Ovis aries: one gene and its partners. The protein of the gene in region 6 interacts with the protein of the main gene of each other region in a pairwise test. Links are inferred from orthologs where the notes say so. Each region holds a gene or a part of one and is shown on either strand. Other genes may lie near its edges. The genes, in order: CDS2, UNC50, CGRRF1, NKG7, cytochrome b-245 chaperone 1, CREB3 and TSPAN4.

The links.
Region 1: the proteins of CREB3 (region 6) and CDS2 interact in a two-hybrid assay, tested with the Homo sapiens proteins (2 studies listed by BioGRID and IntAct). The two-hybrid records come from large-scale screens. The link is inferred for Ovis aries from reciprocal best matches to the Homo sapiens genes CREB3 and CDS2.
Region 2: the proteins of CREB3 (region 6) and UNC50 interact in a two-hybrid assay, tested with the Homo sapiens proteins (2 studies listed by BioGRID and IntAct). The two-hybrid records come from large-scale screens. The link is inferred for Ovis aries from reciprocal best matches to the Homo sapiens genes CREB3 and UNC50.
Region 3: the proteins of CREB3 (region 6) and CGRRF1 interact in a two-hybrid assay, tested with the Homo sapiens proteins (2 studies listed by BioGRID and IntAct). The two-hybrid records come from large-scale screens. The link is inferred for Ovis aries from reciprocal best matches to the Homo sapiens genes CREB3 and CGRRF1.
Region 4: the proteins of CREB3 (region 6) and NKG7 interact in a two-hybrid assay, tested with the Homo sapiens proteins (2 studies listed by BioGRID and IntAct). The two-hybrid records come from large-scale screens. The link is inferred for Ovis aries from reciprocal best matches to the Homo sapiens genes CREB3 and NKG7.
Region 5: the proteins of CREB3 (region 6) and cytochrome b-245 chaperone 1 interact in a two-hybrid assay, tested with the Homo sapiens proteins (2 studies listed by BioGRID and IntAct). The two-hybrid records come from large-scale screens. The link is inferred for Ovis aries from reciprocal best matches to the Homo sapiens genes CREB3 and CYBC1.
Region 7: the proteins of CREB3 (region 6) and TSPAN4 interact in a two-hybrid assay, tested with the Homo sapiens proteins (2 studies listed by BioGRID and IntAct). The two-hybrid records come from large-scale screens. The link is inferred for Ovis aries from reciprocal best matches to the Homo sapiens genes CREB3 and TSPAN4.

Annotation. Positions count from the first base shown.
Region 1 is NC_056066.1:47,098,124-47,101,870, reverse strand, and holds part of CDS2 (phosphatidate cytidylyltransferase 2), read right to left. Parts: intron 3,507-3,747; coding exon 3,387-3,506; intron 2,953-3,386; coding exon 2,849-2,952; intron 2,606-2,848; coding exon 2,473-2,605; 3' UTR 1-2,472. UniProt on the Homo sapiens protein: Catalyzes the conversion of phosphatidic acid (PA) to CDP-diacylglycerol (CDP-DAG), an essential intermediate in the synthesis of phosphatidylglycerol, cardiolipin and phosphatidylinositol.
Region 2 is NC_056056.1:102,628,219-102,631,672, forward strand, and holds the end of UNC50 (protein unc-50 homolog), read right to left. Parts: intron 2,701-3,454; coding exon 2,561-2,700; intron 2,473-2,560; coding exon 2,371-2,472; intron 1,002-2,370; coding exon 865-1,001; 3' UTR 666-864; downstream 1-665. UniProt on the Homo sapiens protein: Involved in the cell surface expression of neuronal nicotinic receptors. Binds RNA.
Region 3 is NC_056060.1:65,103,950-65,108,181, reverse strand, and holds the start of CGRRF1 (cell growth regulator with RING finger domain protein 1), read right to left. Parts: upstream 3,006-4,232; 5' UTR 2,922-3,005; coding exon 2,818-2,921; intron 1-2,817. UniProt on the Homo sapiens protein: Able to inhibit growth in several cell lines.
Region 4 is NC_056067.1:57,519,831-57,523,433, forward strand, and holds NKG7 (protein NKG7), read right to left. Parts: upstream 2,340-3,603; 5' UTR 2,109-2,339; coding exon 1,952-2,108; intron 1,875-1,951; coding exon 1,728-1,874; intron 1,628-1,727; coding exon 1,493-1,627; intron 1,327-1,492; coding exon 1,268-1,326; 3' UTR 660-1,267; downstream 1-659.
Region 5 is NC_056064.1:49,807,967-49,812,501, reverse strand, and holds the start of cytochrome b-245 chaperone 1, read right to left. Parts: upstream 2,813-4,535; 5' UTR 2,005-2,812; intron 1,711-2,004; 5' UTR 1,667-1,710; coding exon 1,582-1,666; intron 786-1,581; coding exon 744-785; intron 1-743. UniProt on the Homo sapiens protein: Functions as a chaperone necessary for a stable expression of the CYBA and CYBB subunits of the cytochrome b-245 heterodimer. Controls the phagocyte respiratory burst and is essential for innate immunity.
Region 6 is NC_056055.1:52,808,400-52,812,627, forward strand, and holds the start of CREB3 (cyclic AMP-responsive element-binding protein 3), read right to left. Parts: upstream 2,829-4,228; 5' UTR 2,683-2,828; coding exon 2,545-2,682; intron 2,430-2,544; coding exon 2,282-2,429; intron 2,207-2,281; coding exon 2,139-2,206; intron 2,028-2,138; coding exon 1,938-2,027; intron 467-1,937; coding exon 360-466; intron 252-359; coding exon 183-251; intron 1-182. UniProt on the Homo sapiens protein: Endoplasmic reticulum (ER)-bound sequence-specific transcription factor that directly binds DNA and activates transcription. Plays a role in the unfolded protein response (UPR), promoting cell survival versus ER stress-induced apoptotic cell death.
Region 7 is NC_056074.1:46,913,187-46,917,385, forward strand, and holds the start of TSPAN4 (tetraspanin-4), read right to left. Parts: upstream 2,856-4,199; 5' UTR 2,794-2,855; intron 1,715-2,793; exon of another isoform or gene 703-1,714; intron 1-702. Other genes in the region: POLR2L (DNA-directed RNA polymerases I, II, and III subunit RPABC5), read left to right, coding at 3,166-3,260. UniProt on the Homo sapiens protein: Structural component of specialized membrane microdomains known as tetraspanin-enriched microdomains (TERMs), which act as platforms for receptor clustering and signaling.

The DNA of each region.
Region 1 (3,747 bases), on a different chromosome or scaffold from region 6:
AAATCTCTAAATAAGGGCTGCACAAAATCAAGTGGGAAACATAAAACCATACAGGGAAGAAACTGAATTCATGACAAGAGAGGGCATACAATTTGTCACATTTTATTTCTCACACACACAAAAAAATGGATCTAGAGCAAGTTATGCCACTCATTAAGATGTGCACAGCTGTGTGTTACAACAGTCTCTGGAAGCTTGTCTGTTCAGTGAAAGATTTTCAATAAACGGGAGAAAGAAAATCAGTGTGCTATATAGACACAAGGTGGTGTCTGTCTCCTGGCTACTTCCTACGAAATTCCCCTATTTCACCAGAAAGCATGTGGGAAACCAGAAGGAAACAAAACCCTAGCTGACCCTCAGGCTCTCTGGATGGCAGCTCTGTTGAGCTTCCAGCTGCCATTTCCTGGAACCCTCATCAGCAGCCATGTCCACAGGTATGTGCCAGGCTCCCTGATCCCAAAGGTGGCTCTCTGCTGCCAGGTCCCAGCTGAGATTTCCTGTCCCCAAGGACCCACCTATCTGCCCACAGGGGGACACCATGAGACAAATGAAGTGCCATTCTATCTTTGGTTTGGGGAACCAAGTTCATTCTTCATTCAGAAAACTAGATTCATTGCTCCACTCTAAGATTTATTGCTGAGGACAAGCATTTTAAGGAAAAGTATTTAGAAAAGGCGTGTAAGCACTTAATTTTTGCGTGCCCAGGACATGACTCAACACCTGCAAGCAGCCTCTGCAAGTACGTATACTTGCTCAGCCAGAATCATGGAATATGAGAACTAGAAGACAGCTCAGAAAACGAGAACCCACAGTGATGTGTCCTGCCCAGTGCCACATGGCCAGCACTGAACACACATTCTGTTTTTAAGGGGGCCTTAGACTTAGAAAAGCCATTTACTGAAACAGAAATAAAAGTTCAGAAGAAAGAAGCTACTGCACGTAGACGGTCACACAGTGACTGTGAACACAGACATCAAAAGGGGTCTGGCCTGTGCTGGACACCTCAGTGATTTGGGCTGGCTGCGAGCGTCCACAGATACAGTAAGGTTGAGATAAACACAAAGAAAGAAAAGCAGCACCAGCCCAAGGTGCTGAAACAAGCTGTTATACCCCCGTTTGGCAATGAGAACCACCATGGCACAGAATAATGAAACACATTTGGGCACCAATCTCTCTCCCCTCTACCCCCTTGCTTATTATCCTGACAAAGAATGTATATTCCAAAAGTCAACCTCACTCTTCTAATTAAAAGAAAAAAATAAATAAATCACAATTTAAAAAGAAAAAGGTCCCGCTGTAAAATACAAACTACATTTAAACTGGTCATATTATACAAGTGTGCATTTAATCTTCAGAAGCTTCAAACCTCTGGGTTGGGTTATGCAGAGTTGTAAGCAGGACTTTGTGGTTTCAGTGAAGAAGTCATGGTAATTGAAATCACTGTAAGAAATAAGTGATTTTTAAAGCACACACACAGATATACACTTGCCTTAAGAGTAATATATATATATATATATATATTAATATATACAACACAGCAGCTACATGGGTGGTCAGCCAGGTCAAGGGCATGGGTGTGTGAACAAGAAGCCCTCTGCTCCCTGCCTAATGAGGAAGCCCCCAGAAAGGATTCAGCAGCAACAAGTCTATAGCACAAATGTGAATAGCATCATCCCTGAAAAGACCCAGTTAGCCAACTGCCCTATAGGAGCCACTTGAGCCTAAACCCTGTGGGAAAAGACCTAGTTACAGCATCCTACTGCATACACTTGAAATAGAACAGTGTGGCTTTTTTCCAGACTATTATAATTTTTCATGCCTTTTGAAAAAAATTAAAACTGAAACCTTCTTCAGTCTGTGATGAAGTGAGGTGAATCCATATCAAAAAGCAAAGCTCACAGTCCACAGGATTTCATGAACAGAATGCCTATCTGATTAATAAGCCTTCATCCTTCTTCCCTCAGAAGGCAACCCTCCTGTAGCTCCAAGGCAGGGATTATTGAGAAGCCCAGGAAAAGCACTCCAGTAGTAAAGACATCCAAGCTGTGTAACTCTTCCCTGCTGGGGGTCAGCTACAAAGACAGTCGGTGGTGGGGGGCCTAAACTAGACAAACACAGATGAATGAGTGTCCACTCTGATCAGGCCCAGAAATGGAAGCTCCAGCTTAGGAGCTAGAAGCACCAAGCAGGCACTCCAGAGCTGGGCAACACTGTCTTCCAGAATGTTAAAAGCTTTGGTTTTAAAAACAAAAATTGACTTCTTTCCAACTCAAAGCTATAGGTTACTCACAACCCAAATCATAAGCATATGGACTGTATACACTGTAGATTTTTTTTTTCAATCCACAAATAGAAACACTGGTTTAAAAAAAAAAAAAAGTGAGTTGAAGCTTGTCTTTGTCCAGCTAGGCTTGCCTGGGAGCCCTGCCCCTCACTCAGCCCTGTTTCGGCTCTCCTGGCCCTGGGTGGCCCCTACTTGTCCTCTGTGGCAGCTGTCAGCATCCCCTTGTCGGTCAGGTGAGACTTGAGCGTGTTGAAGATATGGAGTTGCTGATCTGGCCTCAAGGTCAGGAACTGCTGAACCAGCTTACTTGGGTTTGGGCCCCTGCAAGAGGATGAACAAACAACACTGAGCAAAGCAGGAGCCAAGCACTTCAAGGGCCTGATTATTTTAGTGGCTGTTCCCTTCCTGGATCCTCTACTAATGGAGGGTAGGAGGGGACCTCAGAGAATCCATAACTAATAGCAACTGAAAACTTCATTCATATTTGGGATTTTTTCACTCAAACTGAGAAGTAGATGAAATTCTAAAATCCGCCAACTTGGTTCAGACAGAAAGGTACTATACCTGATAAAACTAGCAATATACACATTGACAAAGGTGGCCATCAGATACTGGCAGTCAAAGCGATCCATGATGCCTCCATGGCCAGGAATGGTATTGGCAAAGTCCTGTTAGAGGAAGGAAAGGATTGGTGAGCCTGGCTTCATCCAAGTCAAAGCCTTGTCTATGGTCACACCTCAGTGTCCACCTACTGTACTCTACAGCTGAGGGCAACAGAAAGTGAAAAGTATTGATTCAGGTGCTGAAGCTATAGTATACAATCCTATTAAATTATAAAACATCTCTTTTGAAGAAAGATTAACATAAAAAATTATCATAAAACTGAAATCCAACCACAGAATTTTCTTAGAAACAAGGTATCTTCCTTTATCCTACTTAAATTCCATGCATGGGTGAAGAGTACATATTAACAGTCAGGGTTCACAGTCTGGTATTCTGAAGGGGGTGGTAGTTGATGAGGTGAGACAGGAGGAGGAAGGCAGAGACGGTGAAAAGGGGCCTGGCTGGGAGACAATGAGAGGAACAAAAAGGGTTTTCCTACTTTGATCTTAAAGGCTCGTTTGAATCCACTAGCGAAGAACCCTCCGAAGGGGCCGATGAGCGAGGCAAAAGTAGAGAGGGCAATGCTGTGAATCTGGAAGGGGTACATCCGCACTGTTTTCTGAAAAGAACAAATGAAATCAGTTCAGATGCCTGCAAGCCCAGGCTTATTACTTGTTACCATTAAAAAAAAAAAAAAAGACAAAAAACCACATCTTTATGAAACTATATCTCCCCCCAAAATTAGAAAAAAAGACTGGTTTAGGAGTTCTCTTTCTGCTAAATCTCTAATATACTGCTTAACAGAGGACATTAACATATTATGCGTTCAGTCTACAGCAATATGTTTTGTTTGAAGTATA
Region 2 (3,454 bases), on a different chromosome or scaffold from region 6:
TGTGCCTTCATCACTGTTTCTCTGTGCCACAGCCGTTCATGTGTATTTGAAATAAAGAAGTTTAAAAAGCCATGTTGAATTCAAGACTCCTAATAAAAAACAGGTAAAACTTCATGAGTACCAAGCTTTTTTATTATTATAATTTTAACACTGATATATAATAGCTTACCGGGACTATTTCCTGTTAGAAAACAATAGTAGATTTGTGTGTTTTGGAAAGTCTTTAAAGAAAAAAAAAAAGCCTTCGTTAAGACCATGACTATCAGTGTTACACAGAGGTTCACTCCCACCTTAAGTGTGCTATGCAGCTCCCAGAGTAAGAAGAGCTTCTGGGGGAGTCTTCAGTTGGGTATTTTTTTTTTTTTTTTGCATAAACAATGGCTATTAGTGACATTTACAGCCTGTAGTTCAGTGATTCCTAAGGAGACTTTTAAAGCTTAAATTAGGACCCTGTGGCTTATATAAAAGTTTAAAATGCAGCCTGTTAGAAATGGGGGTGACTCTGTACCTTGTCAGTAACAGCTGGGGAGGGGATGGCACACATATGACTATGTGGATACGCCTTCAAAAATAATGTTAAAAAGTTTCACCTTTGTATTTTCTTTATAGCCTTAGTACTTTGTATATCATTCTGTGTGCAAATATTTATGAATAAAAGGTAACACTTTAGTTTAAAAAATATTTATTGTAGAAATGTACATTTAATCAGTTTTAAGGAATGTACTATTAACATTTATAGTTCTTCAAATTTGCAAACTTTGTACCTTTAAGATATCTACAATGATAGTTTATTTACAGGTTTCACAGGAAATCACCACCTCACCGATACTGTTGCTGCTGCTCAGATGTAAGGGGCCCCCTGGCTCACTTCACTCTGTACTTGTAGAAGGAGCAGAGCGTGTGGGTGAAGTTCCAGCCCAGGGCTAGTGAGAGTCCGTAGAGCAGGATGAGAGGTGCAAACGGGTAGAGAAGGATCACCGTGTTTTTCAAAAATGGCAGTGCTGGAAAAGGGCCAGGATTCAGGTTAAGGGTGAGAGTCAGTATCGCCAGTTATTCATGGATCAAGTGGTGAATTGAAACCTGTGATGCTTCAGAAGCTTCCCATCTTAATGTACCAGCAGACATGGGTGACGTTACAGGAGAAAAACAGCTTTCAGCCGTTTGAGATTTCCCAACCGAGGGAGTGTTACACCTCCACTTGGAGAAAGTGAGCTCTCAACTAGTAATCCCAGACTTTAGGAAAGAAATGAAGCTCTCAAATATAAAACCCACCCCCAGATATCTGTGTTTCCTTCTTTCTCACTTGCGGCTTCCTGATAGTGGGTCTATACCCCATGCATTCAAATCTAAGTATTTCTCATACAAGTAGTCCCCAAACTGAAACTGAGCTGTGCCCAAAGAATCTTCTAAATTGTAGTGAGTTACCAGGACAGTGCTCCAAAATCCACTTCCATCTCCCCCGAACGAGAGACAGGACCTCCCCAATGCCCAAAACAAGGTGTTACAATTTGGAGGTGGGGGGGGGGGGGCAAGTGGTTCCTGACAAAGTCAAGGGGACTCTCTGACCAGTGGAATCAGTCACATGTGAGTCCAAGTGACCTAGGTTTACAGTAAGATTCTAATCATCTAGAGGGACAATAAAGGAAAGAGCTACAACACATAACACTAACAAATCATAAGATCTCTAAATTTAACTCTTAACAGCAGTCATTTCTTTACATGAAGAAAAATAAACATGGTTCTCATTCATACTATGAAAGACGAACCGATAGCAGGATTGAGTAATGAATTTATAAACATATCCTGAGTGCAGCAGAAGCTGGGCTTGATCTTCTGTGATTATCCCCAGTATCTCCCACCCCTAGGCTTCTCCAGTCCAGCAGGTGGCCTGGGACCAACACAGATGTTTACAAAATGAAGAGTATTTCACAATCGTCCCCCAAACAGAAAATACGGTAAAGGTTTTAAACATGCCCATACACTGGACCCAACCCTTTCCTCATCTGACTGACTGCTGGAAACCCAGAACCCAAAAACCTGGGAGAAAAGAAAACTCGTCATGGGTTCCTGCAAGAAACCTGGAGAGCATCAGATGGTTTAACATGGTTCCTTGAAATTATAAAGTTTGTTATGTACCAGCTATGCCACTTTGGAGCTATGGGACCATGGATAAATTACTTAATCTCTCTGGGCTTGTCTCCTCATTTGAAAAATGGGGAATAGTAAACCTGTATCATATAACTAAAGATTAACTGGAAGAATTTATGTAAAACACCAGCGACAGTACCAGCTCCATAAAAGCTCAGTGTATCACCGTTAAAACTTCTCCCCTCCCTGTAGTGTTGTCAAGGAGAAAAATCAATTACTTACCACTGTATCCTAAGAAAGTTACATAGATATAGTAGCCAACGGCAACCAACCATAAGGTATTTCCAACTAAATATCCAATAAATGTGTCTGTTAGGATGACATCTGCCGAAGAGACATGGACAATGAATCTTTTTTCAGTGGATACAATGAAGACTTTCTGATGACAAGTTTAGAAGAAACTGCTACTTACGGTTGATGAAAAAAAGCTGTATAAAATGCAGAATGACCAAGAGAGGATAAAAAGCATTCAGATGCACATCAAAGGCATAGCCCCACTCCACATCATAGTCTCTGCTCTGCCGTTTCACTAAATACTTATTGGAGATAAACCTGAAAAAAATTATAGCATTTCTTTCATAATACAATAAAATTAACCCCATGCGTATTTACTGGCTGTCTTCTATAGCTCAAGCATTATTCCATACACTGGAGAGATGGTGGTAAGCAAACGTCTGCCTTCAATCTAGTGGAAGTGGACTGACAACAATACAGTCAGACGGCCCTAGGAAAAAACTGAGCAGGACAGCAGGGCAGGGGCTGCAAAGGTGACATGTCAGCCACGACGAGAGTCCCGAGAGTGACATCTGGGCAAAGAACCAGGGGCAGCGATGGGAACCCCTGGGGCAGAGCCCTCCGAGCAGGAGGAGTCTTGAGCACGGGTGGGGGAGGGGCTCAGAGTGCCTGCAACTGGTGAGAAGATAGCAGGGAATGAAATGGGAGAAGAAAAGGGAGCATCTTATAGACCCTGTGGCCACTGCAGACGTTTGGCTTTTACTCTTGGTGGAATAAGAAGTCACTGTGGAGTTCCCAAAAGGACGTTTGGCTTACTGTTTTGACGGGGTTCCTCTGGCTGCGGTCTGAGAACAGACCCTTGGGACAAGAATGGAAGCGAAGAGGCAGGAGGGGGAGGTCACTGCGAGGAGGAGACGAGAGGCTGGCGGCAGCGGGGGCCCTGGCCTGGGGGCAACTACAGCTGGGAGGCCCGAACAGCCAGAGTAGCGTACGACACAGTGGGTGCCAGAGGAAAACGTTAGTCAAGGACAACTGAGAGACTCCTGCCCTAAAACAAGTGAAAGATGGAGGT
Region 3 (4,232 bases), on a different chromosome or scaffold from region 6:
ACTGGCAAAGCCTCATGGAAGCAGTGAGCCTCCAAAGAAGAAAGGTCTTTAGAGGTTCTGCCCCACAGTCACCAAGCAAAGTACAGAAGGATAATAGCTTAATAATCTGCAGTCAAGAGGAAGCAGAGAGCAACTGCAGAGTCAGGGTCATGAATTAACTGAAACTATTTAAGGATGTATATAGCACTCCGGCCTCCTTTCTGCACACTGCCTGGCAAAATAGCTAGAGCTTGATAAATCTGAGTATTAGAGCTCACAGAAACCATCATGTAGTTAAACAGAAATTCAATACTTTCAGTTGTATTATTCTTTGCCACTGGGATTCCAACAGTCAGGTGCTTCCATTCTTTCTCTACTCCCACACAGTGTGAAAGACAGGGAAAGGAACTAAGCAATGGGTTTTGCAAAGCAGTACTGAGGTAAGAACCATGACAGAGAAGACAGATGCCCAACAGAAATTATATTGGGGGAGCTTAAAGAAAATGACAAGCACAGTGAAAAAGCATAGTGGATTAATGCATTTGCCTTCTGCCTGGGGGTACTATTAGAAAATTACTTTGAGGAGCTCTAGATGGCCTTCACTGTAAACGCTAGTTTAAAATAATAATAATAAGGTTATCTACATGGGCAAAGCTAACCCATATGGAGAGAATAGCTGGATTAAGCTTAAGATGACTGGTTAGGGCCAAATCAGGATGGAAGTGACTGGCACTATATAGTTTTGTGGCCTCAGCCATGCTTAATTCAGACTTCTCAAAGTTCTACAACTATCCGGGCCTCCATCCTTGTAAAGAAAGTGAAAGTGAAGTCGCTCAGTCATGTCTGACTCTTTGCGACCCTGCGGACTGTAGCCTACCGGGCTCCTCCGTCCATGGGATTATCCAGGCAAGAATGCTGGAGTGGGTTACCATTTCCTTCTCCAGGGGATCTTCCTGACCCAGGGATTGAACCTGGGTCTCCTGCATTGCAAGCAGACGCTTTAACCTCTGAGCCACCAGGGAAAAGTCATACTTAAATGGAGTGTTTGGATAATCATTAACTTTTCAAACCAAGTCTCAAATTTGGCAAAGCCAGGATTTGAACCTGTCTGACTCCAAAGTCTGTCTCTTTACCACCCCTGCATGAGGTTCTGAACTACCCTTCACTTACAGACACCACCATCACTATCAATAGGTCTTTACTAGTTTTCCTCCTCCCATAACTAAAGACAGATATCTACAATCTCTAATTAGTTGAATCAGGCCAACTGAAAATTAATTTTAAAATTATTAGGCTGATTAAAAATTAAAATTTAAGGATATTATGCAATTATCAACTGGTTACTTATTTTCCTTAATGGAGGAAAATTATACTCTTGAAGACACTAACAGTTTAGCCAATAAAAATCTTGTGTTTAGACATCTCTTCTCACTTAGACAACATCTTCCTAACTCCAATTACAAACTTTCTTGAAATGAACAACAGCAAGAAATTCTGATGTGTCAAGAATATCAGATTGTGTAAAATTGGTCCTATTCTTCCCCCACCAACCAAGAAAGAATTTTATAATCTACTGCTGACAACGTGGAAAGCAGTGTGAAAATGTTAAAAACTTTACTTAGTTCCTAAAGATGGCATATTTTCAGAAATTGACAAGAGCTTGTGTTCTTTCTTTAAAGTAATCACATGTGCATGATCGGTTGCTCAGTGGTATCCGACTCTTTGTAACCTCACAGACTGTAGCCCCCCAGACTCCTCTGTCCATGGGAGTTTCCAGGCAAGAATACTGGTGTGGGTTGCCATTTCTTCCTCCAGGGGATCTCCCACATCTCCTGCATTTCCTGCATTGGCAGGTGGATTCTTTACCACTGAGCCACCTGGGAAGCCCAAAGTAATCACATATACATGCTCAAAGGGTATTTTGAAACTCATATTACACAGCCTGCTCTATTCACTAGCATGTCTCCTCTGACCCTCTGTTCATGTAATCTCTAAAATGCCTTCTGTTCTCTACTATACACATTTAGCTCCAGTTCTTTTTCAAAATACTCACTCTTCAAAATCCAGCTCATGTCTCTCTCTTCAAAGGATGGACCTGTAAGATGGTTTCAGCTAGCTATAGTATAAGACGACTCTAAACATGATACAATGGCATCTCTTCGAGAGAGAAATTTTAGAATCTCTGAGCTAGAATGGCTCACGGATGAGCTAACAGTCTACTCTCCTAGTCTCCAATAAGAGAAGTGCCCTTATGCCTTAGTGTAACTTATCTCTGAGGTCTCTTCCAGCTCTAAAATTATGTCTTTATAGTTTCACCGTTCAAAAGGTGTGGAATGTGTGTAGAAATCAATACATTCTCAAACGGTTCAGAGTTCAGTTGTAAGTTACGCTGGAAGATCTCACGGCAAGTGCTCAGTTCACGTCAGAAGAGCAACGAACAACTGGGTCTACTATCCACGTCTGAGGACTGTACCGCAGATGACGGGCTCACTCCGGGCACACAGTAGGCCCCAAATCCGGACAGAAGCCTGTTGGACAGCCTCTCTATCCTCACACCAAGACCAAGCCCTTACTGGCTACTTTATCACCTAGAAAAAAGCTGGGTAAAATACCTCAATCCTGCACCATCCCCAGATACCCGCAGCGACGGGGATCGGACGATGATGCAGGGCAGTGATGCGGGTAGATGTCCACCTTGTTTTCCTCCTGAGCCAGTGGGAGCCCTGAGCACTGGCTCTCCGACAGCCCCAGTCCAGCAGTCACCCTGAAGCCCGCTGCTACTCATCTCCCCGGCTGTCCGCCCCGACGCCACTTGCCCATAGCCCTGGGGACTCTTACCATCCCAACACCAGGCCGGTGGTCACGATGAAGCAGGTAAAGACCACCGCGATGTAAAAAAGAGGCGAGTACTCATAGAGCGTTACGAGAAACACCGCAGCCATCAGGATCTCCTAAGCTGAGCCGGGCTCCTGCCGGCCAGCCCAGCCTAGCTCAGCCGGGCCCTCTCCGCCAGCGTAAAAGCCACTACGGTGCCCCGGAGCGGACAAACTTTGTAGATCCGCACTAGCCTAGCACTCCTGCAGGCTAGAGGTAGGGGTAGCCTCGCCGTGAGCGGGAGCCTGCGTGCCAATCACGGGGTCGCCTGCAGGGCTCGCCCCGCCCCTCCCGCTCCTGTGCCGAGTTACCGGCTTCGCCGAGGGGCGGGGCCCAGGCTCGCCCCGCCCCCGGCTCCCGGGTTTGATATCCCGCGGGCGTATTCTTTGGCTGTTTGTCCTAGCGGTCCACGGTTTTCTGCGGCAAAGTCGGAAGAGATATTGGTGCGGACTCCGTCCAAGACTCAGGTAGGGTGTTTTGATGCCAGAGAGAAGACTCAGCCCGAAATCCACGTCACAGAGCGTAAATCCTGAGATCCTGCCTATTACATCTGAGAGATGTGGCAGGAAGAGGAGAACCGGCATTTTAAATTCTACAAAGTAAAATAACCCCACACCAAATCTTGTTTTCTGTTCACAAAACTTAACAAATAGGCACTGTAGAAAACACCAAAGAGGCCCCCAAGCACTTTTTAGGCGCCTTGTCAGCCTTTTCAAGTTGGATTTAATGCTAGAGGCAAGTTAGCATTGGGTGTCAAGATTCTGAGAAATAAATCAACTGTTTTCCCATATGCCTTTCTTCTTTTCTTCGTCCCCCTCTACCCCTCAAATTAGAATTAGATACTTGAAAAAAATTAAATATTTGAATTTTTGTATTTTCACTTTAATAATAATTTAAAATATGTGTGCATATGTGATATACACACATATATACTAGAGATCTCTTCAAGAAAATTAGAGATACCAAAGGAACATTTCATGCAAAGATGGGCTCAATAAAGGAGAGAAATAGTATGGACCTAATGGAAGCAGAAGATATTAAGAGAAGGAGACAAAAATACACTGAAAAACTATACAAAAAAGATCTTCACGACCCAGATAATCATGATGGTGTGATCACTCACCTAGAGCTAGACATCCTGGAATGCGAAGTCAAGTGGGCCTTAGGAAGCATCACTACGAACAAAGCTAGTGGAGGTGACGGAATTCCAGTTGAGCTGTTTCAAATCCTGAAAGATGATGCTGTGCAAGTGCTGCAATCAATATGCCAGAAAATTTGGAAAACTCAGCAGTGGCCACAGGACTAGAAAAGATCCATTTTCATTCCAATCCCCAAAAAAGGCGATGCCAAAGAATGCTTACTACCACACAATTGCATTC
Region 4 (3,603 bases), on a different chromosome or scaffold from region 6:
GGACCAGGGATCGAACCTGTGTCCCCTATACTGGCAGGCGGATTCCTGTCCACTTCTCCACCAGGGAAGTCCCTCCCCCCGCCCTGAATCTTTCTGGCTCCTCCTTTCCTTCTCATGCCCTGGCCCCAGTGCAACCTTGTAATGTCTCGTGTCCCTCCTGTTGGATTGCAGTCTTTTTTCTCTCCCCTTCTGGCCTCCAGAGGGTGCAGAGTGGGGGGCTTTCTGGCACCCAAACCAGATGCTGTCCCTCCCCTGCTCCACCCTTAGCTCCCTATCACCCTCAAGAGAGTCAATTGTGGGGTTAGAGGTGCTACTTCTCACCCATCCTCATTTCCTGTCACCCTCTCACATTCGACAGTGGACCACAAAGTGCTGTTCCCCATCTTGTGAGAACTCCCAGCCTCTCCATGCCTCCACTTTGGGGTCCCTCTGCCTGCATTACCTTTCCTCATCCCTGGAGAAGTTCCTAAACACATTCTCCCCAGAAAGCTCACCCCCACATCCCACCTCTCCCCCAGACACAGCCAGTCCTCCTGCAATACCAGCCCTGGGCTCTGCCTGCCCCTGTGGGACTTGGAGCCCCTGGCAGGCAGGGCCCAGTCTGAGTCACCTCGGCATCTACGGTGGAAGGCCCAGCAGAAAGGATGCGCTCAGGAAAAGCCAGCCGAAGGAGTGAATTTATTAATGAAATGAACAAGGACTAAGGATGAACGCCAGGGTGACTAAATCAGAGAGGGAGCCAAAAGACAAGAACTAAAAGGAGGAAGGTACAAGGAAGACCTCCCTGTTGGCCCAGGGGTTAAGACTCTGTGCTTCCGCTCCAGGGGGAGCAGGTTCAATCCCTGGTCCCGGAAGTTTGCATGCCATGCAGTCAAAAAGGAAAAAAAAAAAAAAGACACAGGGAAGAAAAGAGATGGAAGGACAAAGAAGAGAGACAACAAGGACCCTAAGGCCATGTCTGAGCCTAGACTGGTCCCCACACTGGGTAGGAGCTCCCGAAGGGCAGGGCGGGTGGCAGGACTGACTCCCCTCTGGGTGCCCAGCGTCACCCACCATGGAGCTGGCATGTCATCAGTTTATGTCGTAGCTGCATGACCCTTTGAATAACCAGATCCCGGCAAATTTTTGTTGAATGAATGAAGCTACAAAGGAAGAAGCTTGTGGAGGCTGAGAGTCAGGGCAGGCTGGCTGGAAGGAGAGCCAGCTGTTGCTTTCAGGATTCCTGATGATGCCTTCAGAGAACAGAGCTCTAAGGCCATCCTGCGGTTCACATGGCCTCGTAGCCAGGCCGGTGGGTCGTGCAGTGAGCACCCAGACTCAGGCCACCTGGGGTAGCAGAGAAAAGTTAGATACTTGCTCCTCTCCTGCTCCCTCAGAGCCCCCAGCCAGCCCCAACCCTCCCAGCCAGCCCCTCCCCCAGCCAGCCCCCACCCCAGCCCCAGCCAGCCCCTCAAGCCAGCCCCAGAACTCCCCAGGCAGCAATCACAATCACCTGTACAGAGAAAGAGGAGTGTTGAAACCCAGCCCAGGTAGAAGGACCATGCGAAGAAGCTCTGGACCTGGGGGTTTCCTGGCTGGTTCCACCGCTCAATGGTGTAGACCGTCATAGCCACTATCAGGGACAGGGCTGGGGATGGAGACATGAGGGTCGGGTCAGCCCCCCTGCAGCAGCTCCCCCTCCTCAGCACCCCTCCTCCCCGCCCCCAAGCCCAGCACGGAGTCCTCACCTCCAGCAAAGGCCATGAAGGTGGAGACAATGGGGCCGCGTCCGGGGGCAGACAGCGAAGGGATGCAAGACATGACCAGAAAGGCCGTGGAGATCAGGCCCCACAGGACGGCCAGGATGCAGAAGCTCTGCGTCACATGGATGTAGCCTGCTCGGAAATGGGACCTCTGACTGCCCGTCCCCGCAGGCTTTTCCCAGCACCAAGACCACACCCCCAGCCCTTACCTGCTACTGAGACTTGATCCTTGCTGGGCCAGAGGCCTGAGTGAGATGAAGACTTGGGCCCCTGGGCTGCAAACCAGAAATTCGTGCTCAGAGCCACTAAGAGGGACACCAGGCCCAGGGAGCTGGTGAGGAGGGCCAGGGACCGGCAGGGCTCCATGGGGGTGAAGTCTGGGTTCCTGGGTCCTGGGTGGCAAGGACGAGGCTGGTGATCTAGCCTCCTGGGTCTCTGAAAGAGGAGGAAGTCTGTTCCCCCTCCGCCCCAGATTCCTGGGTCCTCTGGTCTCAAGAAAGAGAAACCAGCAAGCGCTAGGGGCGGCTGGGGGGTGGTCTTTGCTCCTCAACGTCAGGCCCGTTTGGTCTCAGCCTGTCCAGGGCAGCTGCTCTGTGTGACACACCCTGCCTTCCTGGCTTGCATCGACACCCGTCCCCCCAACCCCGCCCCTCTCTGAGGTTTCCCTCACCCTGGACGGTGGCGGCGGGGGTTGGCCCTGAAGATGTCACATTGTCACTGGTTTGGAACTTGTCTGTCTCCACAGAAGCCTCTCTATATGCTGCCCTTGGGGGCCTCCGCACCAGAGGGGCTTCCTGGAAAAGGTGAGAGAAAGAGATGGGAGGTGGGTAGAGGAGTGAGCAGAGGGGGCATGCGGTGAGTGAGGCTGGGGTGTGAGTTAGATGGGAGGGGAGGTGTGACTAGAGGGAGACAGTGGGGGAATGCATCATGCTTTCCTGTAATTCTGCAATTTTCCGTTCTGGGAGGTGGGGGCCCCTAATTCTAGGGTCTCTGAAAAAAGAGAGGGGGCAGTTGGCAAGGATGCTGGGCGCTGCATGAGGAAGGTGCTAGAAGCCTAGACTCCAGGTGCTGAACTCAGACTCCTGGCTCCTTGCTTGGAGCTTGTGCCGGGGGGAAGGTAGATAGTGACCACAGTTCTGAAAGTTTGCAGAGGGGAAGACGTGCCCACATCCTGGTACAAATGAGTTCACAAACAGCTCGGCCGAGGGTAAGGCGTTCAGCCTGGTGGGCTTCATCGCCGGGATCGGGGTTTCTGTGGTCAGGGGGAGAGGGGGGATGGGTAAAGGATGTCAGGGCAAGACTTTCCGGCTCTCCTCACCTCAACCAGCGTCAGGCTCTGGGCCCCACCTCAGGCACAAGGGGAAGGTGTCACGGCCCAGCGGGGAGGCGCAGACCCTAACCCTATCTCTGTGAAGCAGGAGTGACCTGGAACAGGACTGCTGTCCCAAAGAGGAACTGAGCCGACAGTCCCAGGACAGCCGGCGAAGGGGAGAACAAGAGTGGCTGCAGGAGGCCGGTCCTCTTCCTTGGCTGGAGACTCCAGTTTGCAGAGTTTGCCCCCCATCTAGATCCTCACCACCTGGGCAACTGGTCACTCCTGAGAACACGCTTGGGAGGACAGGCTCCTGGAAGGAGATCCTGGTCATGGACAGCTGGGGCACCATCTCGAAAGCGGTGATGGACCCGGCTCCTGTGAGGAGCAGCTGGACAGGCTTCAGGAAGTCTGGGCTGAGGGCATGTGATGATCACATGCTCGGAACCCATCTGTGATCTTCTGTTTTTCCTTTTTCTCCCCACCACCTCTCTCCTATTTTCTCTTTTGGCCTCACTAAATGGTTTGTGGGACCTTAGTTCCCCAATC
Region 5 (4,535 bases), on a different chromosome or scaffold from region 6:
CATGCCTACAGGGGGTGCCTCCTCCCAGAACAGCTGCTTCCCAGACTCTGGGCAGGAGTGGCCCCTGAGGGCCCAGCTGACTGCCCATGCCTCCAAGGACACCCCACCCCTGCCAAGGCCATCCAGCACTGTGGGCCCTGTCACACAGGGCAGGATGTGGTCCACCAGCTCTGCCTTCAGCTCTCCACGTGGGTGACTCCTCGAGATTACGATCATGGCACCGTGTGTGAGAGCAGAGATGGGGGACTACTTCCAGGGAGCTGCTGAAAGCATAGACTATTCCTGCCACAAGACCTGAGGCAGACATGAGAGTGCCTTTCTGCATATTTTATGACATGAAAATGCTGATGTAAATGAATGCAAGCTGTGGGGGGCACACAAGCGCATGAAGGTGAGACCACGCCTGCAAACCATTTAGAGGAAGAAAGTCCAACTCCTTATGACCCCATGGACTGTAACCTGCCAGCCTCCTCTGTCCATGGGATTTCCTAGGCAGAAGTGGGTAGCCATTCCCTTCTCCAGGGGCTATTCCCAACCCAGGGATAGAAACCAGGTCTCCCACACTGCAGGCAGATTCTTTACCATCTGAGCAACCAGGGAAGCCCCATTTAGAGGCAGGGACAATCCCCCAAATCATGCCTATCAGATTACAAATGACAGGGTTTCCTTTTTTTCTCTTATTTTCCAATCAGCTAAGGAAGCTCCTAGGGATGGGGCGGGGCAGGGCAGATGCCATTCCTCACCTCCACTGTAGTAGGCAGCAGCCAGGCCGATCGACAAGATTCCTGTGGGGAGAAAACCAGTCCCTTTCCATTGGGCCACCACTAGCCCAGAGACCACCTCCTCCCATGACCCGCAGACCCAGGTAAGCAGCCCCCCCTGCTGCCAGGGATGGCTAAGAGCAGGGAGCAGGGGGGCAAGAAAACCGCCAGGCTCAGAAATTGTGGAAACAACCAGGAAGTCTGTTTACAAGAATGTTCTACCTCAGTCACAGTATTCACTGGTCACATGTCTACGCTGAGGTTCCAGAGCTGACAGGGGAACCAGAAAGAGGAACCTGATGTGGGTCTCATCCACTGACAGCACATGGTGTGGAATGAAGACAAGACTGCAGGTGAAGAATCACAACCCCGCACGAGACGAAACAGGAAGAGTCCCGGGAAAGAAGGCCCAGAGCCAGGCTGCCGAAGGTGCAGCAGCACCTCCCCTCACACCTCAGTTCCAATTAACATGTGCAGCTGCCCAGGGAGTGCAGGGCAATGGGGATTGACAGGGTACAGGACCAGGGGCCTCCCCACCCTTACTCCTTACTGTCTCCATCACACAGGCCCTAACCTTATGAAAGCAAACAAAAAAGGAAATACAGGGACCTCACAGGAGCATGGAGACTATTAACCAAAGGATGTTAAATGGTGAAAAAACACAAGACTGACCCTCTGTAAAAGCACTCGAAAAGGATAAAAGCTGGAAAGACATAATAGTTGCTATTTCCTGGGGTAGTAGAACCAAGGAAAATTTTAGTTTAATCTTCATCCTTTTGTAAAGTTGGATTTTTAACTTGAGAAATATGAACATCCTTACCAACCAGCAGGGACCAGGATCTGATGCCTGGAGCCCTCTTCAGATGGAGGCGGGAGCTGGTGCGTGTCTCCACCTGCATATACATCCCTGGAACGTGCTGCCACCACCTTCAACAAGAGACCAGGGCGCCTAGGGAAGGACACAAAGAGACAGCTGGAGCCCTTGGGCCGCTGCTAACAGACAAGAACCCAGCTGCTCTCCAGGACAGGATGCCCAGCTGCCCACTGACAAGGTCCACACAGGTTCAGAAACCACTCAGCCTGTGCTGACTGCTGTCCTGTGGTCAGGCAAGTCAACCCCCTAGGGACCCATGTCCTCTGTAAGGAAGGTTCTTTGCGCAGATATAGTGGTTGCACTGGGGCTATGTCCCCTGCTCTGGCTCACAAAGCTTCAACATTTGATCATCACCTGTCCACTTCTTACCTGGAAACCTCAGTCTCTTGGAAACCGTTAGCCCCCAGCAGCCTCCAAACTTCTGGCACCCTATCAGAACGTACCAGAACACCCTCATTTCCCTGTACAGGCCTATGAAAAAGAGAACTGAAAGTCTCGTCATGGTTTGATGAGAGGCACTGATCGAAAAGTCAGTTCCTGCAGCTGCGGAGACAACAGTCCGCACCCAGCGGAGGGTTTGGACGGCCAGGAGCACCAGCTTAATGAACGAGTCAGCAAAGGGGACTGATCTTCCACAAGTGGAGAATTCTGCCCTGCAATACGTTCAAAATGCTGGCTCCAGGGGCCCCGTTTTGGGTAGCTTTTCAGGTGTTCTCTGTAAAGTTGTCAAATTTCTGACAACAAAGAGTGGATTCAGTTCACACAAACGAAGCCAAGATCCTGCGATATCCCCGGCTCCCTCCCTTTGACACGCTTCGCCTGTTTCCACACGCGACTCGGCCGCCCGCGGGGCGAGATCACTCCTGTCACCTGCACGAGCCGCTTAGGACACTCTCCACTGACCCTTGCGGCCACACTGTGCACCCTTCTAGCCTCGAGCGCTGCCAGGCCCCCGGGGCATCGACCCGGGCCGGGTCACAAGACCGCGCTCCCGGAAGGACCTCGGCTGCGGGAGCCGCCCCTCAGCACACCCCGCGCCCCCCAACCCGCAACCGTGGCACAGCCCGGGCGCTCACCGCAGACACAAACCTGCAGGCGCGGAGGCGGGACGGGCGGGACCGGCAGGACTTCAAAACGCGCCGGCCTCCAACTTCCGGAGCTGGGGGCGGGACCAACTGACTTCCGGACCCGCGGGGGCGGATGGGACAGTAGACTTCCAGACTCGGGGGCGGGGCGAGGCGCGCGGGTCCTGACTTCCGGGGCTTCCATTTAGCCCTCGAGAGAAGAGGGCTGGCGGGGCTCTAGAATGAGGTTGACTACCAATCAGTAGAGATTGCGGAGGCTGTCATGGGTTTTGCGCACCCCGGCACTCAGCACAGAGCGCCTGGGGTTGCAGTCTTTAGAAGATCAGCGGAGGCAGGTGAAGTTGTAAGCACGGGACAGCCATTTAAGATGGTAAGGAAACGTGAAGTATATATTTAAGCTCACAACAGATACATACAAACATTATGGTAGGTTCTGTAAAAACTTTAATGGGAAGCATTAAAATAGAACTAAAATAGTTGTTCGTGGTTTGGAAAATTATAGTACAAATGTGAATTCTCCCAACTTGCTCTGTAGATTGAATTGCGAACCTAGTAAGAGTATCAACAGGTTGAAAAATCGGCACAGCGCTGCAAGGCACTGTGGAGGAGGGTAGGAGAGAACTAGAGATCCTTGACCCCCCCAAAAAAACTCAGTGTAGCTGGGAAATTCACATTTTCGTGAGGGCAGTTTTTCTGCTCCTCCTAAACTTGCCCCATTGTAGGGGAAGGAGGACTGTAGTAAGAGATCATATTCTCCAGGAATACCTTGAAATGGCCGCTTAGGTGGCCTCCCTGCTCCACTCTCCAGCAAAACACTCATAATGTACCGCCAGGGCCCCCAGATGAGGCCCCAAGTAGGACCCTGATTTGCCTATTTCCCACTAGAGGATTACCTGAAACAGGAGAGCCTCTACCGCACAGCCACTGCATCAGTGGCCTCCAAACTGGGACGGTCAAGATGATCTATAGAGTGCTGGAAGAACATACTAGAGCTTGTATTCCTACTTATCTTTTTATGTCTATTCTCATGTGTCCTATAATTTACATAAGACTTATACACAGTGTATAAAGAAATATACACACATGGGTATGCATAACCCTAGATGTTTTACCAATATAGGCACAATGTCAAAAATTGGGGGATGACTTTTCTATTTCACCAGTCTCTATGTACTCTGCCTGTGGTTCAGAATCACCTGGTGGGGCTACTGAAACACAGACCACTGGACCTGTTCCAGCAATGGATGGGGCTTGAAATGTACTCATGCTGGTGCCTGCTGCTCTGAGAACCACACCCAGAGAACTTAAGCTCAGAGCTGTAACAAAAGTAGGTTCTGCAAGAATGTGGCAGGTTCCCTGACCTGATGCCTCAGCCCACATTCTATTTCCTTGAAATGCCTTCTGTGGTAAGATTACCGCCATCTTGAAGGTCTATTTGAATTGCTTAGCACCTCCTTTAAGTCCTCTCTGCTTGTGATCTTAATTCCTTAGAATTTAGGGAGAACTGAATTGATACCCAGAAAATTCCACTTTGCATTACAGTCCTTGACATAATTTAACCTTTTATACCAGAGTACAAGCCATTTAAAAATGAAGCCTACACTGGCTTTCTATTAATGTTAAATGAGAGAACAAATGATGGCTGATTTGATTAAAATCCTGCTGAATATAGGTAAGAGCAAAAGACTGGAAATAAATACAAAATACACAAATAGGGGACTGAGTGAATAAAATCTGTACATTTTTTTCCAGTTATCAATACATTACATCTTTGTTTTAAATTCAGACTGCATTGCCCGTTCTATGAAAATGCAT
Region 6 (4,228 bases):
CTTATACTTGTGAATTTATTCCCCATTACTGTGAGCTTCATGGAATCAGAGACCCACTAAAGACCAAGCATCAGACATATGTGAGAGATGCCCGGTGACAAATCAAATATGGAGCAGGAGAAAGACTGAGACAGTAGTAAGCGGGAGGGATGAGCAAACCCTGATGTGAAAGAGCTGCTTACAGATTCTGTTCCTCCAGGAGCTGTACTTTGTTCTGTAGCTCCAGATTCTGGGCTGTGTATTTCAGGACCCTGGAGGAATAACAGGGATGTGGGGACATGGCCTGTATCCTCCCTTCAAAAACCTCACACTTCCAATTACCTGTTTCTCCCACCCCCGAGTCCAGCTCCCTTTCATACCTGCTTTCTAAACCCCCCACATACACCTTCTTCTTCCTACGGCTCTCTTGAGCAGACTTTTTGTTTCGAATCTTCCTCCGCACTCGTTTCAGGACTTGTTCCTCCATCTGGGAGAAGACAGGAAAAGGGATCCCATCAGAGGAACATTAGACCAAAGAGTTTGAAGGCAACCGAGTTCAATCTTCTCAAAGCAGAGATTCCTTCTACAATTTCCCTGACCAATAGGCACTCTGCTTCTGTCTGAATGCTTCTGTCCTCACAAGCCAAACCATTGTAACAATTTTGTTAGATAATTTTTTTTTAAAACCTTCCTTATGAGCCAACATCTGCCTTTGTTATTTCTACCTGTTGGACTTACCTAGCACCTAATCTCTGGGGCCATAATAGAACAAAGGTCTTCAGCTATTTTAAAGCACTTGGCATTTCTTCAGAGTTAAAAAAAAAAAAAAAAACTGGGCAAAAATTTTAACTCATCATCTTATCTCTTCTCAGGATGGACTGCATCTTCTTAATATCTGTCAAAGATAATAGGCTCAAAACTTAAGAAGCTTTTTGGCCAATGTAAAAGAAAACAAGATAGTTACTGCCCTTCTAGTGGCAACACTATTAGATAACTGGTATCTGATGATACAACTGGGCTTCCCCAGTGCCTCAGCAGTAAAGAATCTGCCTACAATGCAGGCGACTCAGGAAACACAGGTTCCATCCCTGGGTTGGGATGATCCCCTGGAGAAGGAAATTGCAACGTACTCCAGTATTCTTGTCTGGGAAATCCCATGGACAGAGGAGTTTGGGGGCCATAGTCCATGGAATTACAAAGAGTTGGACACGACTTAGCGACCAAACAACAACAACTAAATCTGATGATACAGCTTCTAAACCCCATTCTCTTCCTTAGTAGCCATATCACACTGTTGACTCAACTTGTACTTTTTTTTGGCCACACCTCGCACTTGTGGAATCTCAGTTCCCAGACCAGGGGATTGCACCCTGGTGCAGACCAGGATTGCACCCTGACCCTGAGCAGTGAAAGCACAGAGTCCTAACCACTGGATTGCCAGGGGATTGCCTCAACTTATATTTTTGAGAAATTAAAATTGTTAACCTTTCTGTTAACAGACATTGATTTCATCATAGTATCACAATACTGTGCATGTGAAACTGCCTCTCATTGCTTGAAACTCCAAATTTCACATTTACTCTTGTTATACTACTTAATTGTTATACTACTTGTTATACTACTCTAATACTTGATTTACTATTCAGCTACAAGTAAATTGCATGAAACCAGTGAAATATAAGTATCAGAGCCCCGCGCTTGTACAGTACTTTCCAAATCCCTTTACTAATATTACCCTGATAATTTTGAATTCTTAGTTAAAAAGAACACCAAAATTTATAAAAGCACTACAAACCAGGATCTGTCCTTGCAAGCAGTATACTAACCACATGCCCCAGCTTCCTACTCAAAAATGTGCTAATCTCTCACCTCAATTCTTTTTCAAGTTACTGATACAAAATTAACAGAACTGGCCTACTTGGAACTCACAACCCCCGTCCCCGCGATGGGAGACTTACCTTAGTGAGTGGAAGCATCCCAGGCAAAGTAAGCCCCTCCTTCTCCAACAGCCTTTTCTCCTCCTCAGTCAGTATCAGCCTAGCAATCTCCTGCGGTTCCGGAGAGATGGGCAGCAGAGTTGCAAAGGGATTTCAGAAAGTAACGCGGAATACTGCCCCGACCCGCGCAATACGGAAATAACCCTCCTATAAGTCAAGTACCTGATCTGCCGGCTCCTCCACACACAGTGGAGTCATCTGAGTCCCCTCTTTTCCATAGCTCTCATTATCTGCAAAAGGGAAAATATGAGTAGTCAGGCCTCGGAGTCCTCTCCTTTCCCAAACTTCACTTATTTCAGGCTTACCTAGATCTATGGAGACATGCTCTTGTGAGAGAGAATAGGTGTGGTCATGCTGGACAAGACAGGAGTTAGAGCTGCTGAAAACGTTCAACGATGATGGGGGACTCGGCAGGCAGCTCAGGAAATCCTCCACGTCCCAATCGCTCAGAGACTGCACAGGGTTCAAATTGACAGGCTTTGACCATCACCACCCCCTGCCTCAGGGACACCCCTACCCCGCCCACAAACCCGCCTCACGCCTCCCCGACTCAGAGCCCCCCACTCGCCTCAGAAAGTGGCAGCTCCCAATCCGGCGGAGACGCCAAGGCCTCGTCGGGCGCCGCACCCAAACCACCGCTTTCCTCTAGCAGAAAGCCTAGCAGGTCACGGTCACCCGGGTCCAACGCCAGCTCCATATGAGACATTTATGGAAAAGATGCGCAGAAACACAGGAGTTCACCTCGCCACCCGGACCCTATCCCCAACCAGGCGTAACCGCGACGGACTGTCAGTCGGCCCCACCTATCGGCTCTTCAGCGGCGTTTTCCTCCTAGCTGCTGGCGAAGGCTCTGAAACCGGGACACGCCTTCCAGACTCCACTCCCCGCTAGACTTCCAACAGAACACAAGTGACGCACCTACCCGCGAGGCATGCCGGGAGTTGGAGTCCCCCACCCCACCCCGACGCGGAGGCTGCCGCTGTACGCGCCACGTCCAGGGCGCGATGCAAATAGAGGGGACGTGCCTTCCGCCTCCGCAGTCCCTGAGGGCGGGCATTCTGAGGAAGCGGCTCCGCCCCGGGCTAGAAAAAGGAAGGATTACAGCCTAAAAGGGAACTAGGGCGCAGTTCTGGCGCTTCCTCGGGACTGCACCGCACCCTCGCTTCCGGCTGGGGAGGGGCTGCCGGTCGTCAGCGGGCTCCCGAGCATCGAGAGCTGGGGCCAGAGCAGCTTCCTGCAGTGCCCGCGACCATAGAGCGCGGGCCCAGGGCGCCGCCCGCGGGTGGGGGACGTTCCCGGGACGGAAGTGGCCGAGAGTGTCGAAGGGAGGGCGAGGCCGCAGCCCGAGAGCCACCGGGAGAACGAGCGGGTTAGCGGGCCGGCGGGCGGGGCACAGAGCCGGGCAGCGCAGGTAGGCCGGACCGGGCGAACTGGGGCCTCAGGGTGGGGCCGCGACACCAGGCCTGGGAGGCGGGCGGGCAGGGCCCCTGACTTCTGCGTCTGTTTCGGGTCATCTTGGAGAGGTTCGCGTCCGGTGTATCTCTGCTTGTGCTCTGAGTTAAATAGGCAGTTTTTCGGCAGCCAGGCCCTTCCTGGAGCAGTCCTCGGCCTAGGATAGTTTAGAGGGAGGGTGAGGAGTGGGTGGCAGTGTGACGCAGGGCGGGGATCGGCTTTGAGGTTAGCTGATAGCGGGTACGTGAGCAGGAATGGGTGAGTTGGAGATTAGGTGGAGTTGGGTTTTAGGAGTTAAGGTTAGCTTTAGGAGTGTGCAGCTGGGGTTAAAATTTAGATTTATTAGTGTGAGGTGCGTTTTGTGTAGGTGAGGTTTGGATTAAGGGCATTATTTTGTTTTCTATAACGACCAACATTAGAGTTCAGGTTAAGGGTCAACAACAGAAACTAAGTTAGAAGTCCAGATTTAGGGATTAGAGAAGGTTAGCATAGCCAGTACAGGGGATAAACAAGAAAGGGGTGAATCAGGAATCAAGTGACAAATGAACTTTAGGTTTAGGGATGAAGATTCAGGGTTAAAGGTCCAGAGTTGATGCTACAGGTAAAAATTAGATCAAAATTAGGGATCAGGGATTGGATTCAGGTATGTGGTAGGACAGGGATGCCTGTCAAATCCAGTACTGGGAATCAGGAGACAAATTATGGTCAGCATTAATGTTAGAAATTTCAGGCAGTTTTCTGTGCTGTAGTTGAGGTCAGGGTAGTTGACCTCAGGCAGGTGAAATTTAAGAGACTGGCAG
Region 7 (4,199 bases), on a different chromosome or scaffold from region 6:
CACTGACAGTGCTGGCCCGGCGGCCTCGGAGGCCTGCGGCAGACGGGCCCCAGCAGAGCCAGTGAGCGGGGCCCCAGCAGAGCCAGTGAGCGTGCCCGCACCTCAGGGTGCAGAGCCGGCCGCCCAGCCCGGGCCCCCAGGTTGCCAGCTCTGAGGCGACTGCGAGGAGCCAGGAGGCCCCGCCAACACAAACAGGCCTGCGGAGCCGGCCTTCCTGCTGCTGCTTCAGCCCCCGACCCCGGGGGAGGGGCGCACAAGCACCCGGGCCCACAGGCCCTCCTCCCGCTGGCCTGGAAGACACTGCCTCCAGGAGAGGTGCCCCCGGGAAGAGGCCACCCAGAGGCCTCCAGCGCTTCCCCAGGCCCAGTGAGGACAACCCCGAGGACAGGGGCTCCCCTCAGGACCCTCCCGCCACCCTGGGGCCTGGCAGCTCCCTTCCCCACCTGGGCACTGACACTCCAGCCTGCCCCCTACACACCAGTGCCCTCTGGGAGCCCCACGCACGGCCGAGCGGGCCATCCTCAAGGACCATGCCCATCCACAGGGTCACGAGGTTGCACAGCTGGCCGGCAAACACCGCCAGGGACCCCAGGGCCCAGAGGGTCACCGAGGGTGCAGCAGGTGGGCGACTCCGTCAAACCCTGACGAGGCATCCACGCCCCCTGCTCACCACACCGCCCCCCACGTGTGAGCACAGCTTACCCAGAGCGGCCAGAGCTTGGGCGCTCGGGGCTGCGCTGGGATCCTGCCCCTCCACCTGCGTGGCCTCCGCCCCCCCCCCCACCCACAGAAGGGGAGGCAGACGCTGTGGTCCAAGACGGGGCGCAGGGTCAGCTGCCTCCTGGGCAGCTCCGTCTCTCAGGAGGCGTTTCCAGGACAACACCCGGGGCACAGGGTCTCAGCGGCTGAAGCTTTGATCGTGGATTTCCCCTTGTCCCCCGCCTGCCCTGAAGTGACCCTCCTCTGGCAGGAAGTAGGGCGCACGGGTTCCAGACCACGTGAGCACCACCCTCCCGCCCTGTGCCCCCGCCCCTGGGGGCAGGAACCCCCTCCTCGGAAACCCAGCGCCTCACTCTCCCTGCCCATCTCCAGGCCAAGCCCGAGGTCTGGGCCACATCTGCGCTCATCCCCAGGGCCCCCACCACGGGCCTGTGCCACCCCGGCGCCCCCATGAGTGCACCAGGCCCCTGGGATGCTCTCTGCCCCTGCCCACCCTGAGGACAGCTGGACTATGCCCAGCCTGCCCCCTCAGCACCCACAGGGAGGGAGAAGGCCCAGCGGGGGAGAAGGCTGACGTGAGGCCCCCCAGGGTCCTCAGGTCCAGCCTGGCCAGGCCTGAGCCAGGGTGGGGTGGGCACGGAGGCCAAGTGCCCAAGGGGCCTCTGAGCACACGTGTGCTGGTGGCCTGTGCCACCACGCTGCTCAGCAATCCCCTCCTGGGAAACCAGGGAGCTGCAGGGAGGAGTCCCCCCCGCCTCAATCCACACGCAGTTCTCGGAATTCCAGGAATGTCCACTTGGCTCTCCCGCCGCCCCCCAGTCTCTGGGAGTAAACAGCCACTGCGCCAGAACGAGGTGCGGTGGACCACGGGGCCCTCCCCCAGGAAGCCTGCACGCACCCACCCCCGCTCTAGAAGAGCCTCCCGCCTATCCCCCTCACCTCTGCAGACGCAGCTGCCTCTACAGCTGAGCCTGGGTCCACCCCAGGCCACTGTGACTCAAGGCCCCATCCCAGCCGGGGACAGGATGTGCGTCCAGTCAGCTTGGGAAGGGGGGGCAGGCAGGGCAGGGAAGTGGCTTCTGCTCGTGGCTCCGCACGTGGCAGGGTGGGGGACGGCGAACCCCGCTGGGGAGGGTGGCCAGAGCCAAACTCCAGACGCAGAAGTGCTGGCCAGCCTCCCTGGGACCTCCACTCCCAGCCCCTTGACTTACAGTCAGAGTCCACCACCCACCCCAGGTGGACTCTGAGCTAAAGCCTGGGACCCAACATGGTGGGCCCACCCCCACCCCCCACCCCAACCAGAGACCCTGACGCCCCAGGCCAGCAAATATGAGGAGACCCTGCCTAGGTGCCTAGCCCACCCTCCTCAGCCCAAAGCTCGCCTCCTCCAGGGAGCCTTCCTTGCTTCTCAGTGCACACAGCCCTCTCCCAGCCGCCAGTCACAGGATCAGGGGGCTCACCTCTCGCCACTTCCCGAGACACAGCCCCCGCCCCCGCCCCCCCCCCGCTCCCTTTAAACCCCCACCGCCTCCAGCTCCCACAGCTTCTGTCCCGCACGGACGGGTGTCTGTCCGGCTCCCTCTTTAAGTCTCAGCTCAAAAGACACCCCGAGTGCCCTCCCGACCCTCAGAGCCGGCGCTCCCGGGTCACTGGCGCCCGCCCCTGCCGAGCGCGGACTGGAGCCTGGGCCGCCAGCGCCTCCCCCGGGAAGAAGGCAGGAGGGGGGGCCAAGCTGACCGCGGCGACGGCCGGAGCCCCCACCGGCTGGGTCGCCCCGCGCCGCCCGCCTGCAGGGATACGGGCAGCTACCGGGCCGGGACCGTTACTGTGCAGGCGACCCGGCCAGGCGGCGACCTCGAGGGTCCCTCGGACTCTGCGCAGAGACCCCCGAGTGCCCGCGGGCAGCGGCCCCAGGCGGAGAGGCCGCCCCCTGCCCGGCCCCTCCGGCCGCTCTCCGCGCCCCAGACCCGGCTCGCAACTTGTTGCTGAAACGCGGCTCGCGCTCTGCGCTCGGGGCCCCAGTTCGCGCGGGCCCGGCCGCACTCCGCCCGCGGCCCGGCAGGGGCGCTGTACCTGCCTCGCGCCCGCCGCGCGGAGTCGGTCGGCCGGGCACGAGGAACGCGAACGCCGCCGCCGAGCCCTTGCGGCCCCGCGCGGACGCCGTAGGCCGGGACGTACCAAGGCGCGGGCGGGGGGCTCCCGCCGGGCCCCGCCCCCGGCCCCGGCCCCCGGGCCCCGGCCCCCGGGCCCGCGCCCGCCGGAGGAGCCGCCGTCGCGGCGGGAGGCGGATGCCGGCGGCGCCGGGGCCGCGGGGAGGTGCACGGGGCGGGCCGGGCCGGCACCCCCGCGCCATGGGCGCGCCATGGGCACGCCGGGGCGGAAGCGCCGGGGGATCCGGGCGTCGGGCCGCCGGGCCGCGAAGCTTCTAGCTCCCGCGCCGCCGCCATGATCATCCCCGTTCGCTGCTTCACGTGTGGCAAGATCGTCGGCAACAAGTGGGAGGCCTACCTGGGCCTGCTGCAGGCCGAGTACACCGAGGGGTGAGGGGCGCGCTCCCGGCCGCCGGCCTGCGGGGCCCGGGGCGGGGAGGGTTTCCCAGCCTGCGCGGCCCGGGGCGAGGACAGGGGCGCCCGGCCTAAGGGGAGGGTTTCCCAGCCTGCGGGGCCCGGGGCGGCGGGACGGGGGCCCGGCCTGCGGGGCCCGGGGCGAGGACAGGGGCGCCCGGCCTAAGGGGAGGGTTTCCCAGCCTGCGGGGCTCGGAGCGAGGACACGGGGGCCCCGGCCTGCGGGGCCCGGGGCAGGGTCAAGGGGGCCTAGCCTGCGGCGTCGGCGTCTCGGGCGGCTGTCGAGGATCCAGGCTTGAGGGGTTGGGGTCTTGAGGCGGCAGTCAGGGGTCTTGGTCTCCAGGTCAGGAGCAAGGGACGTTCATCAGATCCCAGGTGACGCCGGCAAGGCTTTTATTCCCGGAGCCTTTGCCAGCCCTGTTCTCCAGACCTGCTCTCAGGAAAGCGTCTCCCACCCCCCAGTTCAGGCAGACGAGGGGAGCTAGTTGTCAAGCGCTGGTGTCTGGGGACTCGAGTATTCTGGCTCCACGCCTCCACCGCAGATAGGCCCCTGGCCACCTCTGTCCGTCAGCTCCCTAAGTTCTCCCTGCTATTAGGCCCACCCCGTGTCCTCAAAGACACTGATGCTGGGCAAGATGGAAGGCGAAAGGAGAAAGGAGCGGCAGAGGAGGACGCGGTTAGGTAGCATCAGCAGCTCAATGGACAGGAGTTCAAGCAAACTCTGGGAGATAGAGGAGAACATGAGCTCAGCGAGCTGCAGTCCATGGCGTCACGGACACGACCGAGCGGCTGAACAACAAACCGTGTCTTGCAGACTCACGGGCTTTTTTAGTACATAGGACAAGCTTCTGATCACATAGCCGTCATCATCAGGCTTTTGTGGGGTCCCTTTTCCGTGTTTGCCCCTTGGCACTG